3 linked regions of the Danio rerio genome follow. The protein of the gene in region 1 purifies or fractionates together with the protein of each later gene. This does not show direct contact. Links are inferred from orthologs where the notes say so. Each region holds a gene or a part of one and is shown in the gene's direction. Other genes may lie near its edges.

What was found.
Region 2: the proteins of slc7a1b (region 1) and stx4 purify together in Homo sapiens (co-immunoprecipitation; 3 studies listed by BioGRID and IntAct, counting the BioPlex papers as one, with this or other methods). This does not show direct contact. The link is inferred for Danio rerio from reciprocal best matches to the Homo sapiens genes SLC7A1 and STX4.
Region 3: the proteins of slc7a1b (region 1) and stx12l purify together in Homo sapiens (co-immunoprecipitation; 3 studies listed by BioGRID and IntAct, counting the BioPlex papers as one, with this or other methods). This does not show direct contact. The link is inferred for Danio rerio from reciprocal best matches to the Homo sapiens genes SLC7A1 and STX12.

What each region holds. Positions count from the first base shown.
Region 1 is NC_133190.1:8,445,139-8,450,250, reverse strand, and holds the start of slc7a1b (high affinity cationic amino acid transporter 1b), read left to right. Parts: upstream 1-2,054; 5' UTR 2,055-2,163; exon of another isoform or gene 2,164-2,337; intron 2,338-5,112. UniProt on the Homo sapiens protein: High-affinity, low capacity permease involved in the transport of the cationic amino acids (arginine, lysine and ornithine) in non-hepatic tissues.
Region 2 is NC_133187.1:22,373,879-22,379,051, forward strand, and holds the start of stx4 (syntaxin-4), read left to right. Parts: upstream 1-1,594; 5' UTR 1,595-1,748; coding exon 1,749-1,778; intron 1,779-2,888; coding exon 2,889-2,996; intron 2,997-3,748; coding exon 3,749-3,848; intron 3,849-3,992; coding exon 3,993-4,067; intron 4,068-4,175; coding exon 4,176-4,246; intron 4,247-4,353; coding exon 4,354-4,462; intron 4,463-5,173. UniProt on the Homo sapiens protein: Plasma membrane t-SNARE that mediates docking of transport vesicles. Necessary for the translocation of SLC2A4 from intracellular vesicles to the plasma membrane.
Region 3 is NC_133191.1:7,958,979-7,964,215, forward strand, and holds the start of stx12l (syntaxin-12), read left to right. Parts: upstream 1-1,658; 5' UTR 1,659-1,670; coding exon 1,671-1,755; intron 1,756-2,103; coding exon 2,104-2,214; intron 2,215-4,676; coding exon 4,677-4,746; intron 4,747-5,237. UniProt on the Homo sapiens protein: SNARE promoting fusion of transport vesicles with target membranes. Together with SNARE STX6, promotes movement of vesicles from endosomes to the cell membrane, and may therefore function in the endocytic recycling pathway.

The sequences.
Region 1 (5,112 bases):
CATTTTGGTTATTTTGTGCAGCCTCTGTTGGAGGTGTCAGCGAGCACAGAAAACTCCTTTAGAACCATGCTTACTGACAGCTAGAAAAGAAAAGGTCAGCTTTCATATTTTCCTAAAAACTACTGACAGTTTGAAAGAAGTCTTCCAAATGAGCTCTGGTTCAAAGCTGCAGCCTACTTACAGTGCATCTGGAAAGTATTCATAGCGCTTCACTTTTTCCACAATTTTTTATGTTACAGATTTATTCCAAAATGGATTCAATTAATTTATTTCCTTAAAATTCTACACACAATACCCTATAATGACAATGTGAAAAATATGTATATTTTTTAAATTGTTAAAAATGTATTAAAAATAAAAAAAATAAAAAATCACATGTACAGAAGTATTGACAGCCTTTGCCGTGAAGCTCTAAATTGAGCTCAGGTACATTCTGTTTCCACTGATCATTCTTGAGATGTTTCAGCAGCTTGATTGGAGTTCATCTGTGGTAAATTCAGTTGATACACCTGTTTATATGAGGTCCCAGAGTTGACAGTGCATGTCAAAGCACAAACCAAGCATAAAGAAAAAGGAATTGTCTGTAGACCTCTGAGACAGGATTGTCTCAAGGCACAAGGCTGGGGAAGGTTACAGAAAACAGTTCTGCTGCTCTGAAAGTTCTAATGAGCACAGTAGACATAAGTGGAAAATATTTGTAACCACCAGGACATCCTGAATGAAACCTGCTTCAGAGTACTCTTGACCTAAGACTGGGGCGACGGCTCATCTTGCAGCTGGACAATGACCCAAAGCACACCGCCAAAATATCAATGGAGTGGCTACACAACAACTCGGTGAATGTCCTTGAGTGGCCCAATCAGAGCCCAGAACTAAATCCAATTAAACATCTCTGGAGAGATCTGAAAACTAATCCTTTCAGAAATCAGAATGAAAAGGTTTTGTTCCTTGATAATGTTACTGTCTATTTGGAATAATATGCTGTTGTATTCCCTATAATTATTATTCACTAAGAAAGTCAGTCCCGCACAGACCACTATAAGAAAGTCAGTCCCGCACAGACCACTATAAACACTATGGGAAATATGTCCCTGGCATGTAACACTGCTGACTTTAATGGCAATATATTGTACTATTTGTAATAAGTGGCATTTAAAATGTTGGCGAACTAAGTCATTTTTACAGGGTTTTTATTTGTTCGTTTGTTCTGTTTTTTTATGGGGTTTTTTGTGCAGTAAAATGTTCTTGGAGCTTCATTGAATGTTGGTTCATTGTATGTCTTGGGATCACTGCTGTCTATGGATGACCAGAGAGCAGTCATCTAAAATATCTTAATCTGTGTTCTGAAGATGTCTTGAGGGGTTGAAACCAGAAAGGTGAGTAATTTATAACAGATTTTTTTAACCCTTTCAGAAATCAGAATGAAAAGGTTTTGTTCCTTGAAAGTGTTACTGTATTTGGATTATTATGCTGTTGTAGGCCCTATAATCATTATTTAAACAACAATAAATGGTCAATAAGTTACAATATCACATTTTTTTAAAGAATTTTGTTTTAAATTTTATATGGCATACACCAATATGATTATCTGCAGTTCCTGTGATGATGACTAAAAAGTTTTTTTTATTAAATAAAAAAATTGAGGACGCAGGAATTAATCCATTCATTTGTTTTATTTTGCTTTCAATCGCAGCTTAACGTTATGTCCTTTTTCTAAGGGTCAGATCGCGCCACAGCAGAAAAAAACTTGTATTTATTCATTTATTTATTTATTTACGGTGTTGCCCTTAAGTGGAATTTTAAGGGAGAAAAGTCACATACCTACATCTTGGTGTGCATTTACCGCAGAAAGCGAGAAAGCAGTTTTGTAACTTGGTAACTGCCCCTTTAACGTTCCATGTGAATGCAAATGAACGGGATGGAAATGAGACAAGAACGCTCTCGGTTTGGGTGTTGGCAACGCGGAAGGATGGTAGAAAACCACCAATGATCCCTTATGGGTGGGGTTTACTCGAGGGTGAAGGGGTACTAGTATTTTATAGTAAAATACTAGTAAGAATAGAAAGTCAGCTGCTGCTGTCTGCCGGTTGAATGTTTATTTTTCGTCGAGTTGGAATGTGTCAGTTTTGAGGTCGTTGAGTGAATTAATTCGACTTCCTAAAGGTAAGCACGTGCGATTTTTTTAGAACAGCTGTGTCTGGATTATTCCTCATTTGAGCGCACTTTTTGATGCTGTGAACTATTTTTAAGTTGCTTTATAAATCGTCTCTGTATTGTCGTGTCTGTGATGCACATGCTTGGCTGCTGTCCATTTAAGGGCTGATGCAACGCTGGACGGTGAGAGATAAGGAGTTACCGCGTAAATACGTATGCGAATAGATGATGGTTAACTAGTGTGAATCTGTTCAATCTAGTTTAATGTGTTAGGGATTATCCAGTCTTTGTTTCAGCATTAAAATCGTTGACGTGGAAAGCTGGCACGTCCTTGTACAGAGCGCGTGTGATTCATTGTGCTCTAACTTAGACTTGAAAAAGAGCAGAATGTATGAGCAAACCTCAAACAAAACCATTACGAGCAGAAACACTGGTTTGCGAAAATGCCCACTATTGCGTTAAATTATTCATTCATTCATTTTCTTTTCGGCTTATCCCTTTATTCATCTCGCCATAGCGGAATGAACCGCCAACTTATCTAGCATATGTTTTACGCCGGGAATGCCCTTCCAGCTGCAACCCATCATTGGGAAATGCATTAAATTAACGTTTTTCTAATGTTTTTTAACTGGTTGCTGCAGTTATACATTCACTGATCTGTAACGTTAGCTCTTCTGTCACGGCACGGGCTTTATGATTCCAGACCAAAGTTTTAGATTCAATTCTTTTGATTCAGAGGAACCGAGTCGCAATTTCCAAATAATATTACACATCTAAAGGATAATATAGGCTATCAAACAAGTTTTAATACAAATTCTTCATATGCATATTTATTTATATTCACATAGTATGAGGGTTTCGAATTTTTTTTAACTGTGTTTGAAATAAAAAATAAGATGTTTTTAAACTGTAGCCAATTTAAAATCAATCTATGTAATGTAAGTGCAAAATAAACATTTTGTTTTATGTATGGTTAATTTATATGCATTTGATGGTTAATTATATGGGTCATTAATTGAAAACAGTACAGAACAACAACATGCATGCGAGCGTATAAATGAACGAATCATTTTTCACTGTTTAATAAACTGAACCTTTCAAAAGAACCGATTTGCTAAATGAATCAAATTTCTGAATGTACAAGCGTAGTGAGGCGCCACGCGCATGGGACAGTCCGCATTGTTGCTGTTTTAGACGGGGGGTTGCGCTTTATTATGACGTCAAAATGCGGGAAATTTGTTTCGTTTTCATGCATACCCCCAAACTCGTCTCAGCGCAAAATAATTATTTTCATAAAACAAATACCCCATTAATTTGAATCGTATACAAGCAAAGAAACGGCTGAGGTTCAAGGTGACTTGATACGTTTTGTTTTAATGAAAAAAAATAACGAGGATTGTTTCATTCATTAGCAAAATAAGCTTATCACAAAACAGCTTAGTATATGTAATGCGTAACTTGCCTCCATAATGTGCATAGCAGAACCAGTATTTACTGATTACTACGCGATAATACCAACACTCCTTTGTAATATCCATATTAATAATAAACATTCAATTATTCAGCATTATTAGAATCTTTACTCTGAAAAGTTTAAGAATGCACCTGGAAAGTGTTTGAAATGTGCTTCGAAGGTGTAACTTATGTTTATTGTCAGGTACTCTATTCTTTATGTGTGAAGAAAAGCATTGAATAATAGTTATGAGTAGATTAATGAAACTGAAAGTTGAGTACACATTGAAGCCAAAATATATAATGCAGATGCATATCAGTTTAAAATGTGTGCTTCTACACAAGTATGAGCTTTTTTTTTTTTTATTAACAAACTGAAACATTTACATTACATTACATGCCAGGGATCAAAACAGAAATGTATCTTTTAAACAGATTCACAGTTTTTACAGCTTTTTTGTTAGTACATTCGGAAATCAAAGACATATAAAGATTTAGATCTTTAAGAAAAATCTGAAAGAAAGGTTTATGCTTACAAAATTTACACTTGTGTATCCGCTTGTTAAGTGGTGACGTGTTGTGACGTATGTATACTGTTTCCGGGTCCAAGCCGCCGTTCATTTGAGTGGAGAAATCTTTCGTTTATGATCGCGTTTTATTCCTATCACACATTAAAGTTAATTTTACATAAAGTCATAGTGTACACAACAATCTCTGGGTTTGCTGCATAACAAATACCACAATTTTAACAATTTATAAAACAATGAATCATTTTCTGGCCATTGGATATTAGGCATGGACATATATATTGCGATCATGACTTTCGAAAGTATTAAATCGCTTTGTAAACGTTTATAATTACCATTTCATGAATCTCCCTATTCAGTTGAATAGAGCGCTTGGACCCAGAAGCCGCTCCACGTGACGTCACACTTAACAAGCGGATATTATTATGCATGTGCAGCACCAGTGTAGTATGACTTTTTAATTTTTTTTGCTATTTCTGCACAGAATTTTGTAAAAAGAATTTTTTGTAAAAAAAAATAAACAAATAAAAATCTGTGGATTTATGCAGAATGATGGTTGTATCATAACTAAAAACTATATGAAATTAAAAGAAATAATAGTGTTTTAACTTTTATTTAATGTTTTTAGTGCAAATCGAATTAGATCCACTTAATTGGTGAGCAAAGCAAGTCTCTCATAATATATTTACTAAAAAACACAAAATATCACTTTACAAACTGTATTGTAAATAAATCATATAACCATTTTCATGTTTGTCAATATTACTGAAATTAAAAACTGAATAAATATAAATTTATACGTTATATATTTACTCAAGTTAAATGATGGGCTAAAGATGTGTGTAAATCTGCGTATTTCTGCACGTGCAGATTCCGAGTGGCCCTAATTATGCCTAAAAAAACAATGAAACATACTACATAATAGATTAATGTTGCAATTTTGCTCATTAAATTCTTAATGCTCATCTTAAATTGTTAA
Region 2 (5,173 bases), on another chromosome or scaffold:
GAACCGGCGACCTTCCGCATGGGATTCGATTGCTCTAACAAGGAGGCTTAAAACCGCAAAGCGCAGAGCTATAAAAAAAAATCTAATTGTTGGGTTTGTATGTGTTTACATGCTAATCAGTAAACTAAAATGGTACTTTGAAAGACTTTTCACTATAATGCTCTTCTGGGAAGCAAAAACTTCTTCATGTCATCACTTTAAAATCTCCAGTTTTGGTTCTTCCTGTCAAATCTATTTTTAGGTTTATGATTTCCAGCTTTCGATTTTCTTTTCTTTCTTTATACAATTACTGATCTGATATCCGTTAAAACTCGCAATTCTGACTTCAAAACTCAGATTCTTTTTGCCCCCTACTGAGTGATGCACCCATGTGGATATGTAAGCCCGTTTTCGCCACTGAGTAATTTTTTTGAAGTAGTTATTGCATTCAGAATTTTAATAATAATTCCTTAACTTTATATAGCACTTTTCTGGACACTCAAAGCACTTTACACATTTTTTGGGGGGTGGGGGAATCTCCTCATCCACCACCATTGTGCAGCATCCACCAGAATGACGGCAGCCATATTGCACCAGAATACACACCAGCTGATTGGTGGAGTGGAGATAGAGTTATGATGCCATGATGGACAGAGGCTAGTAGGCAGCTTTGGCCAGGATGCCGAGGTTAACCCCTGCTCTTTTTTTTCAAAGGACATCCTGGGATTTTTAACGACCACAGAGAGTCAGGTTTAACATCTCATCTGAAAGACAGGACTCACTGACAGTATATTAATGTACCGGCGTGTTAGGAGACATACAGACAGCAGGTTGAGCTGGTCTCCCTAACACACTTGTGGCAATAACCTACAGTTGCTTTCCCATGTGGTATCCCATCCAGGAACTGACCTGGCGCAGCCCTGCTCAACCATGAGAGTTGCAGAGGGCTAGCTGCCGGCAATGCTAATTATAGCTGGCTTTATAACTCTTATGTAATAGCTTTATATAATTGTGACATATATCTCAGAATGCTGTCTTTATATCGCACAATTGCAACTTTATATTTCAGATTTCTGACAAAACCTGTAATTGTGAAGTATATCTCAAAATTCTTGCTTTATTTATTTACTCAGAATTGTGACATTTTATATCTCTGAATTGTGACTTTATCCTAGAATTCTGACTTCATAACTCTAAATTGTAACTTAATCTCTGAATTGTAACTTAGAGTTCTGACTTTATGACTTATATGTGAAAATTATGTCTTTATATCACACAGTTGTGACTTTATGTCTGAGAATTCTGACTTTATAACTCGAAATTTTGATTTTAAATCTCAGAAATCTGAAACAAAAAGCGGGAAAAGATAAAAACTGTTATTCTCTGGCGGAAATTGGCTTCCTTAAATAGCCTCAGTCGTGTCGCTCAGTAGGGGGCAGTAAGAGCCTTGACGGATTTGTCAGACATCCGCAAACTGATAGAGAAGAAGAAAACGGTAAAGTCATATACAGCGACATCGCCCCACACTGATCTCTAAACATAACCAGAGTTTATCCATATAGCATAGATATACACAGCATCTCTCAGCGTCCATCAATATTCTGCTCTGAAAGTTATTTGTGGAAGTTGGCTGGCGTGAAATGTGACTTTCAATGGAAACTCCCTCTTATCTGTTGTGAGTTTTGCAAGTTTATGGTCAGGAGACAGATGAGCTACACCTCTTAAAAACGGGAACATTTCATCTGAGCTGGCCATAAAATACATCGAAAATGCGGGACCGGACCAAAGAACTGGGCAATGTGAGTAATTTCAGGGCAGTGCACGCAGGAAACCGGCTAACTGGCTAACGGGCTAATGTTATTCAGCGGATGTAACTACTGTCACCACTGGCTCGACTGCGATTTATTAACTCCTTCAAGGATTGTAACGAGTCACAATCTATAGTTGTGTGGCTTATTTTCTTGTGTTGGAAAAATATATGGTTAAAGTCCACGAACGGTAGGCTAACACCCTCTTGCAGCACCAGCGCTCTTGGGTAAACGGGGTGTAACTTTATTTAGCCTACAAATAAATACAGCTGCCATGAATGGTTGCATTTGAATATTGATTTTAGTTTTTCTCACAAGAAAGTTAAGCGTTGAATTGGTACTTAACTTTTAGTTGTATTATTATTAATACACTGTCATTCGCTCGGCAATAAAGGTTTATTATCATCCGTTTGTTTTTTCACGTAATTGTGTTGTTGCAGTTTCTTCTGTGGGACTACATTTGCCTTTCGACAAACAAATACCTTTAAATGTCCCAAAGAGAGTCACAAAGGGTTAATTTCACAAAGTTTTTACACTAAATGTTGCACATACTGAAAAATATGAATCTCCTGTATATGGTTTTTACTTCGTTTTCCTGTAAAAGCAAAAAAACTATAATGTTAATAAATTCACACACAATAAAACACACTATCTGTCATGTTAACGTGTTTTTCCTTAAAGCTACTTTTTGTGTAATCCTAAATTAATTAAATTCAAATATATATTTTTCATAAAACATGTCAAGTAAATGTAAAATATATCTTGATTTAAGACTTTCACACATTTGCAAAACGACGAATATAGTGGAAGATGTTTTTTGTAATGTGATGAGAAGAGTAACATTTTTAATGGCTATTCAGTTTTGACTTTTTTTTGTAAGTTTAGAAATAACAGATCTGTTTACTTTTTTTTAAACTTTGAGGTATTATTTAAAATAGATATTTTGCTAACCTTATTTACCTTTATCTAAGCTGCAGAAACACTGTCTTGCACTTTGTATGGTGGTAATATTTTTAAAATATGATAACATACAATATAAAAATTTATTAATAACAATATTCTTAACTATATTCAGTGTCGTATTGTGTACTCTTTTACTAGACTGCTGATGCCTCAGATGAAGATGAAGAAACCGTAGCTCTAATGATAAAGCCTGGATCTGGAACCTCAGCAAATGAAGACAAAGAAAATGAAGCTTTCTTTAAAAAGGTCATTGTAGCACGATTGCTCTCATTTTAACTGCAACTTTCAATACTTTTATGCACTAGTTTTAGGGATCTGTACAGAAGTAGCATGTTGTTTCTGTAATTAATGATTTTTGAACTGAAGTGTGTATTGTTGGTTCTTGTATAATATAATTTAGAAATCCTGCAATTCTGAACTGTGATTTTCTACACTGCAGGTTTCTCACAAATACTGATTAGTACGGTGGCTGAGAGCGCTCAAATGTACTGCACCAACAAAAAACACCAATAAAAAAGCATTTTTTATCAATTATTAATGCAAAAAATGTACAAACAACAAGGAACCTTACGACCAGGACATTAAAATAACCATCAGACAGCAACCCTGACAGGCTCTAAACAGGAAGTAGCTGGGTTTGTCTCTTTTGGGGTTCCCTGACACATTTCTGTCATGTGCTCTTTGCATATGTGCATGTGTTGTGAGAATTTGCTTACACATATTGTCAAACGAATGAACACATTTTCTTAGTTTGGTTTTTCTATATGCATATCTTAGCTTACAGTACATTTGAGCTCTCTCTCCACCACCGTAGATTAGGAACATGCACATGCAAACAGTAATAAAGGAATGAAGCTGTTTAGTGTTTGTGCAAACTTCATGTAATGTCAAACATTACACATAAATTACATTTGGGTCACTTGAATTCCATAACATTTGTGCTTGGAAAGTTTGCATTGAAACTTGACATAAAAATATATTTTCTTTTTTCTATGTAGGTTCAGGAGATTCGAGAGGGACTTGAAACTCTTAAGAGAAAGGTTTCCGAATTGGAGAACAAGCAGAAAACAGTGCTAGGAGTTGCACTTCCAGAGGACAGTAAGTAATTTAGCTTTCACTTGGGTTTTTTATTATTCATTTACATAATCTTATGTTGTGTGTGTGTATTAATTAATAATTATGAAGAGAGTAAGTTAAAGGATAGTGAGTGAATGAGTAAATTATATTTTTCTTTGAGCACAGGTATGAAAAAGGAACTGCAGTCACTCAGAGAAGACATCAAAGGGATGGCCAGCCAGATCCAAAAGAAATTAAAAAGTGAGACTGATAAATAAAATTTTATAAATGAAGCTTTTTTTTTGACAATCAAACTTTTCTGCTCAACCTAACAAATGTGAAAAATTAATCACTTCATTTACATCATAGGTCTTGAACCTAAGAAATTGGAAGTTGAAGAAAAATATATCCCAGTGAATGTAAGAATGAGGAGAACTCAGGTCAGTTGCTTTTATATTTCATGTTTTAATAAATAATTAAACTTAAACAGTGTTGTTTTGCCTGAGAATAATCTGATCTTGTATGTCTCCTCATCATTTTTTGAAAGCATGGTGTTTTGTCCCGTGAATTCCTGGAACTGATGGGTCGCTGTAATACAATTCAAGCCCAATACAGAGACCGAAATGTGGAGAGGATTAAAAGACAACTCAAAATCAGTATGTGCTTATTCTGCTGTGCTTTTTTTCATTGATCTTATTAGCATTCTTACAAAGCCATCTTTTTAATGCACTGTAAGGCCTGGGACACACCAAGCCAATGGTCTGCTGTTGGACTTTGTCTGTCCGTTGATCAGGCTAGTTGGTTTGGTGTATTCTACGTGTCGACTCTCGCCGGGTTAACATTGTTCAATGGCCTGATTCAGTGTCTAGAATCGATGTCAGACCATAAGCTGAAGAGAGTACACTGACTGGTTATTCAGGAACGAATCAGAGCACGCGTGTGACATAGATAAGTCGTCTCCTTGGAATTATAAGGTTCTATCTGCATTCTGAATGATTTTGAAATATTGAACTTCAAAGTTTTTGCATTCCATTTGTTTTTTTAATTAAAAAGTCTTAACATGTAAACAACTAATGAAGAACATACCATGATGTTAGTAAGTTGTCATTTAATTAGAATATGTCAATAGCTCAATTTTGACAAAAATGTCAGATAGAACCTTATAATTCTAAGGTCACGAAGTGTTGTAGCAGGTAAACAATTCAAGTCAAGAAGGAACACTAAAAGGCTGGATGTAATTTCAATAAATTTCTCAAATATTTCCAACAATAATGCAATGATATGAATTATTAGATTATCAGACTGTTGCGCAGGCACAGAACGCGGCTATCATTTCAATGAGCTTTCGTCTGTTTGGTATGGTTACT
Region 3 (5,237 bases), on another chromosome or scaffold:
ATATATATTTTACAATCATTTAATACAATGCTCATCCACACTGATAAAGGCTATTATAGTTTTTAGTAAATACTATAGCATTTTTGAACCATACAGTAGAATTAAAATGACAGTAATTATTATTATATATATTAGATAATAATAATTAGATTTTATGTAAAATTATCATTTTAATTCTACTGTATGGTTAAAAAAAAAAAAAAATATATATATATATATATATATATATATATATATATATATTTTTTTTTTTTTTTTTTTTTTTTTTTTTGAAACCATACAGTAGAATTGTTTCACTGGCCACTTTATTAGGTACACCTAGAATCAAGTTGGACCCCTTTTGCCTTCAGAACTGACTTAATCCTTCATGGCATAGATTCAACAAGATTGAATTGCTCCAAAATTTCTGTCCATATTGACATGAAAGCATTTCACGATTTGTAGACTGCACATCCATGATACAAATTTCCAGTTCCACCACATCCCAAAAGTGCCCTATTGGATTGAGGTGACTGTGAAGGCCATTTGAGTACAGTGAACTCATTGTCATGTTTAAGAAACCAGTCTGAGATGATTCGCACTTTATCACATGGCTTGTTATTCTGCTGGAAGTAGCCATCAGAAGATGGGTTCACTGTGGTCATAAAGGGATGGACATGGTCAGCAACAATACTAATAACAATACTAATGTGACCAAAGTGTGTTAAGAAAATACACCATTACACCACCACCACCAGCCTCAACCGTTGACACAAGGCAGGATGGATCCAAGCTTTCATTTTGTTGATGCCAAATTCTGACTATCTGAATGTCGCAGCAGAAATCGAGAGCCATCAGGCCATGAAATGTTTTTTCAATCTTCTATTGTCCAATTTTGGTGAGCCTTTGTGAATTGTAGCCTCAGTTTCCTTTTCTTAGCTGTCAGGAGTGGCACACGGTGTGGTCTTCTGCTGCTGTAGCCCATCTGCCACAAGGTTGGACGTGTTGTGCATTCAGAGATGCTCTTCTGCAGACCTCGGTTGTAACGAGTGGTTATTTGAGTTACTGTTGCCTTTCTATCAGCTGGAACCAGCCTAACCATTCTCCTCTGACCCCTGGCATCAACAAGGCATTTGCGCCCACAGAACTGCCGCTCAATGGATATTATCTCTTTTCGCACCATTCTCTGTAAACCCAGATTGTTGTGCGTGAAAATCCCAGTAGATCAGCAGTTTCTGAAATACTCAGACCAGCCGGTCTGGCACCAACAAACGTGCCATATACAGAGTCACTTAAATCACCTTTCTTTTCCTATAATGATGCTCGGTTTGAACTGCTGCAGATCGTCTTAACTGTGTCTACAAAATACAGGTGTACCTAATAAAGTGTATATACACACTGTATTACTACTGTGGCATTCATTAACAAAGTTATAAACAAGCTATACTATGTATAATACACTTGAATATAGTAGGCTAGGCTGTTTCACTGCCAAAACCCAAAAGTAACACATGACAGCTGTAATGGTCCAGCGTGATTCTAGTCATATTATCTAGTCAATAATTTGCACATTATAGAAATAATAATAATAACATTAACATTAAGCGACATTAACAAAGCAAATAAAAGAAATAAGTTAAAGTAGACCCGTCAAAACAGAAATCTAAGCTCCGCCTATTAGTGTTACCGCTATGATCGTGTGTTTCCTTTCTATTCATTTCGATTTCTGTGAGAGGAGCAGCGCATCGCCGCCGCATCTGAGCATCACAGTTACAGGTATGCGATTCATTCTCACTCTTTACGTATTGAAACCGTTCGCTTTGTTGACATTCGTGCAAGCATATTTACATAATTTCAGACGTACATAATTAGTCCTTGTTTTATTGCAGCGACAGGCCTGCTGAGCCATTACCGACGTGAAATGTGTTGCGTTGCGTACGCAGTAGCCTACATTTTCTGTATTTGTTTCAGGTTTATTCATTTACGTGTTTTATCTACTGCTATTTTCAGAAATGTGTAACCTGTACATAAAATAAGTCGTTTATTTATATTTAATGCGCGAACACAGTTAACCTAAAGTGAATGTGATTTATGGCATCTGATCATGCAGCTGTTGTTTTTCAGTCATCATGTCTTACGGAATGATGGACAGCAGCCACTCACAGTCACAGCCGAGAGATTTCAACAACCTCACGCAGACATGCAGCTCAAACATCCAGAAAATCACACAAAACAGTAAGTAGATATATTGCAGACACACTTTAAGTGATCGTTTAAATGAAATGCGTGCAATTACACTGCAAAAAATGCCTTTCTTGCTTAGATTTTTTGTCTTGTTTCTAGTCTAAATATCTAAAATTTATTATGTCAAGAAGCATTTTCTAGACAAGCTAACCATATTGTCTTGAGAAATAATATGCCAATATTAGGTGAGTTTTTCCTTAAAACAAGCAAAATAATCTGCCAATGGGGTAAGCAAATTAATCTTGTTTTTTCTTTTGACGTAAGATTATTTTGTTTACCCCATTGGCAGATTATTTTGCTTGTATTAAGGAAAAACTCACTTAATATTGGAATATTATTTCTCAATACAAGACAATATGCTTTGCTTGTCTAGAAAATTATTCTTAAATTAGGAATTTTTTAGCTATTTGGACTAGAAACATGACAAAAGATCTAAGTAAGAAAAGCATTTTTTTGCAGTGTAAACAGTTTACTGACCCTGAAGACACCTTTCTTCTTTTAGACAAGCACAAAAACAATGACACAAAGTAATTTTCTGGCTTGATTTTTTTTTCTACACATACACATCAATTTTAAAAAAATAATCCACATGACGACTCCATGGGTAAAGATGGTTTCTGTAGTGAAGGAATTAGTTTTTGTCAGAAAAATATCCACATTTAATGCTTTTCCAGTTTGCACATTCTCAAGGGAAGTAGCCTATGTATGATAAGCCTAACCCTTACTGTAAATTATTCCCAAAATCAGAGGGGATTAATATACTGATGTAGATTTGTATAACCCTAAATGTAAGCCTAAACTTAAACATAACTGTAAACGTATTCCTTAAATCTAATTGGCTGATTGGAAACACAGATATTGATCCAGAAACATGTTACTCGATGAAATAGTGTAAATCTTAAATTAGAATTTTGGCAGTTTTGGATATCCTGTACATTTGTATTATTATTTATATTAAAATTATCCATGTTTATGTCCTACTTCATATGTGATAGCTTGGCTCTTACTGTATGTCAATACAGATTTTTTTCCCCTTAGAGAGCATTGAATAACACGCTGTAGTGATATGGATTATTTTTATGGAAATCTTAAACTGGGGCAGCATCAAATCCTATAAAAAATATGGGAAGTTTTTTTTTTTTAATAACTCTGTGTTTGTCTGAAATAGAAAGGCATGTTGTACAGTACATCTAGGATGGCTTCAAGATGAGTAAATTATGAATTATGTTTTTCACTTGGCGAAGAGTTCCTTAAAGAAAAGATTGCATTATCTGTTAAATCTTTAACTATTTAGTTTGAATAGGTATTAATGGGCAGTTCATTGCGCTGTGGCGACCCCGTATTGTTAAAGGGACTAAGTGGAAAAGCAAGGCAGGGCAAGTTTATTTATATAGCACATTTCATACACAGAGGCAATTATAAGTGTTTTACATAAACAGGAATAAAAGAAACAAGAGTAAGAAAATAAAAACAAATAATAAGAATTATAAAAATACGAATAAAAATAAATAAAACAGATAAAAATGTGTTAAAATATGTTATAAGATAATGAAAAAGAAAAGAAAAGCATAATAGTGCGATCTGTCGACGCAGCACAGTGCTCATTCAGTAAGGGCACAGCTAAACAGATGTGTTTTCAGTCTTGATTTGAATGTGCCTAATGTTGGAGCACATCTGATCATTTCTGGAAGCTGATTCCAGCAGCGGGGGGCATAGTGGCTGAAGGCGGATTCACCCTGCTTTGACTGAGCTCTCGGAACTTCTAGTTTATATGATCCTAAAGATCTGAGTGATCTGTTAGGTTTGTATTCAGTGAGCATATATGAAATGTATTGAGGTCCTAGGCCATTTAGTGATTTATAGACCAGTAACAATACTTTAAAGTCTATTCTGAATGTAACTGGGAGCTAGTGTAGAGACCTGAGGACAGGTGTGATGTGCTCTGATTTTCTGGTTCTGATCAGAATCCTGGCTGCAACATTTTGGATGAGCTGCAACTGTCTCACTGTCTTTTTGGGAAGGCCAGTGAGGAGTCCATTACAGTAATCCACCCTGCTGCTGATAAAAGCATGAAGAAGTTACTTCACTGGAAACAAAGCATTCTGATTCTTGCAATGTTTTTGAGATGATAGTATGCTGATTTACTTACTGCTTTGACATGACTATTGAAACTCAGATCTGACTCCAGAGTCACACCAAGATTCTTGATCTTATTTTTTGTCGTTTGACCTTTAGTGCCAAGGTACGCATTCACCTTGAGAACCTCATCTCCGTTCCCAAACGCAATGACTTCAGTTTTCTCTTTGTTCAACTGAAGAAAGTTTTGGCACATCCAAGTGTTAATTGGAAAAGAAAATAAATGAATGAATAAAATGCATTAAATTATAAATGCATTTATGTGTGTGTGTGTATATAATTTACCTTTTATAATGTCTCACATTTTCTGTGCATAGCTGGCCAAATCAAGAGCATGCTGTTCCAACTTGGCACGAGACCAGACACACCTGAACTTCAGGACAGACTGTGAGTGCCGTTATTTTCATCACATCAGAGCCACAAGAGGGGGAGGGGGGTGTTGGTGTACAGGTCTATGTGGTTTATAGCTACACTAAGTTGTTCAATGACTAAAGGCCGGTATACATCAAGTCGACACCAAACAACTAGAGCTGACAAAACCCAGCTGAGTTGTTGCCTTACGTCGGCTCACGTCTGGTTCGGTTTGGACCAAATCGTTGCAAGTTCTGCACCTGTGCAATAACACGTGCACTTCCACAGAGGGCTATATGTGTTTTCTCATTCACAATGGGTAACCTGAGCTTACGACACAGATATGCAAAGCTCAAACAAAGCTAAGTACCACCGTAATTGTCACTCCCTCTGTGTTTCTTCTTGATTAGTATTGTTTGCTTGCTATGTCATGTCACTACATCACACTCGCGCTCTGATTCGTTGCAAAATAACCAGTTAGAGTGCTCTCCTTAGCAGACGGATGACGCCGATTGGACATGCTGAAT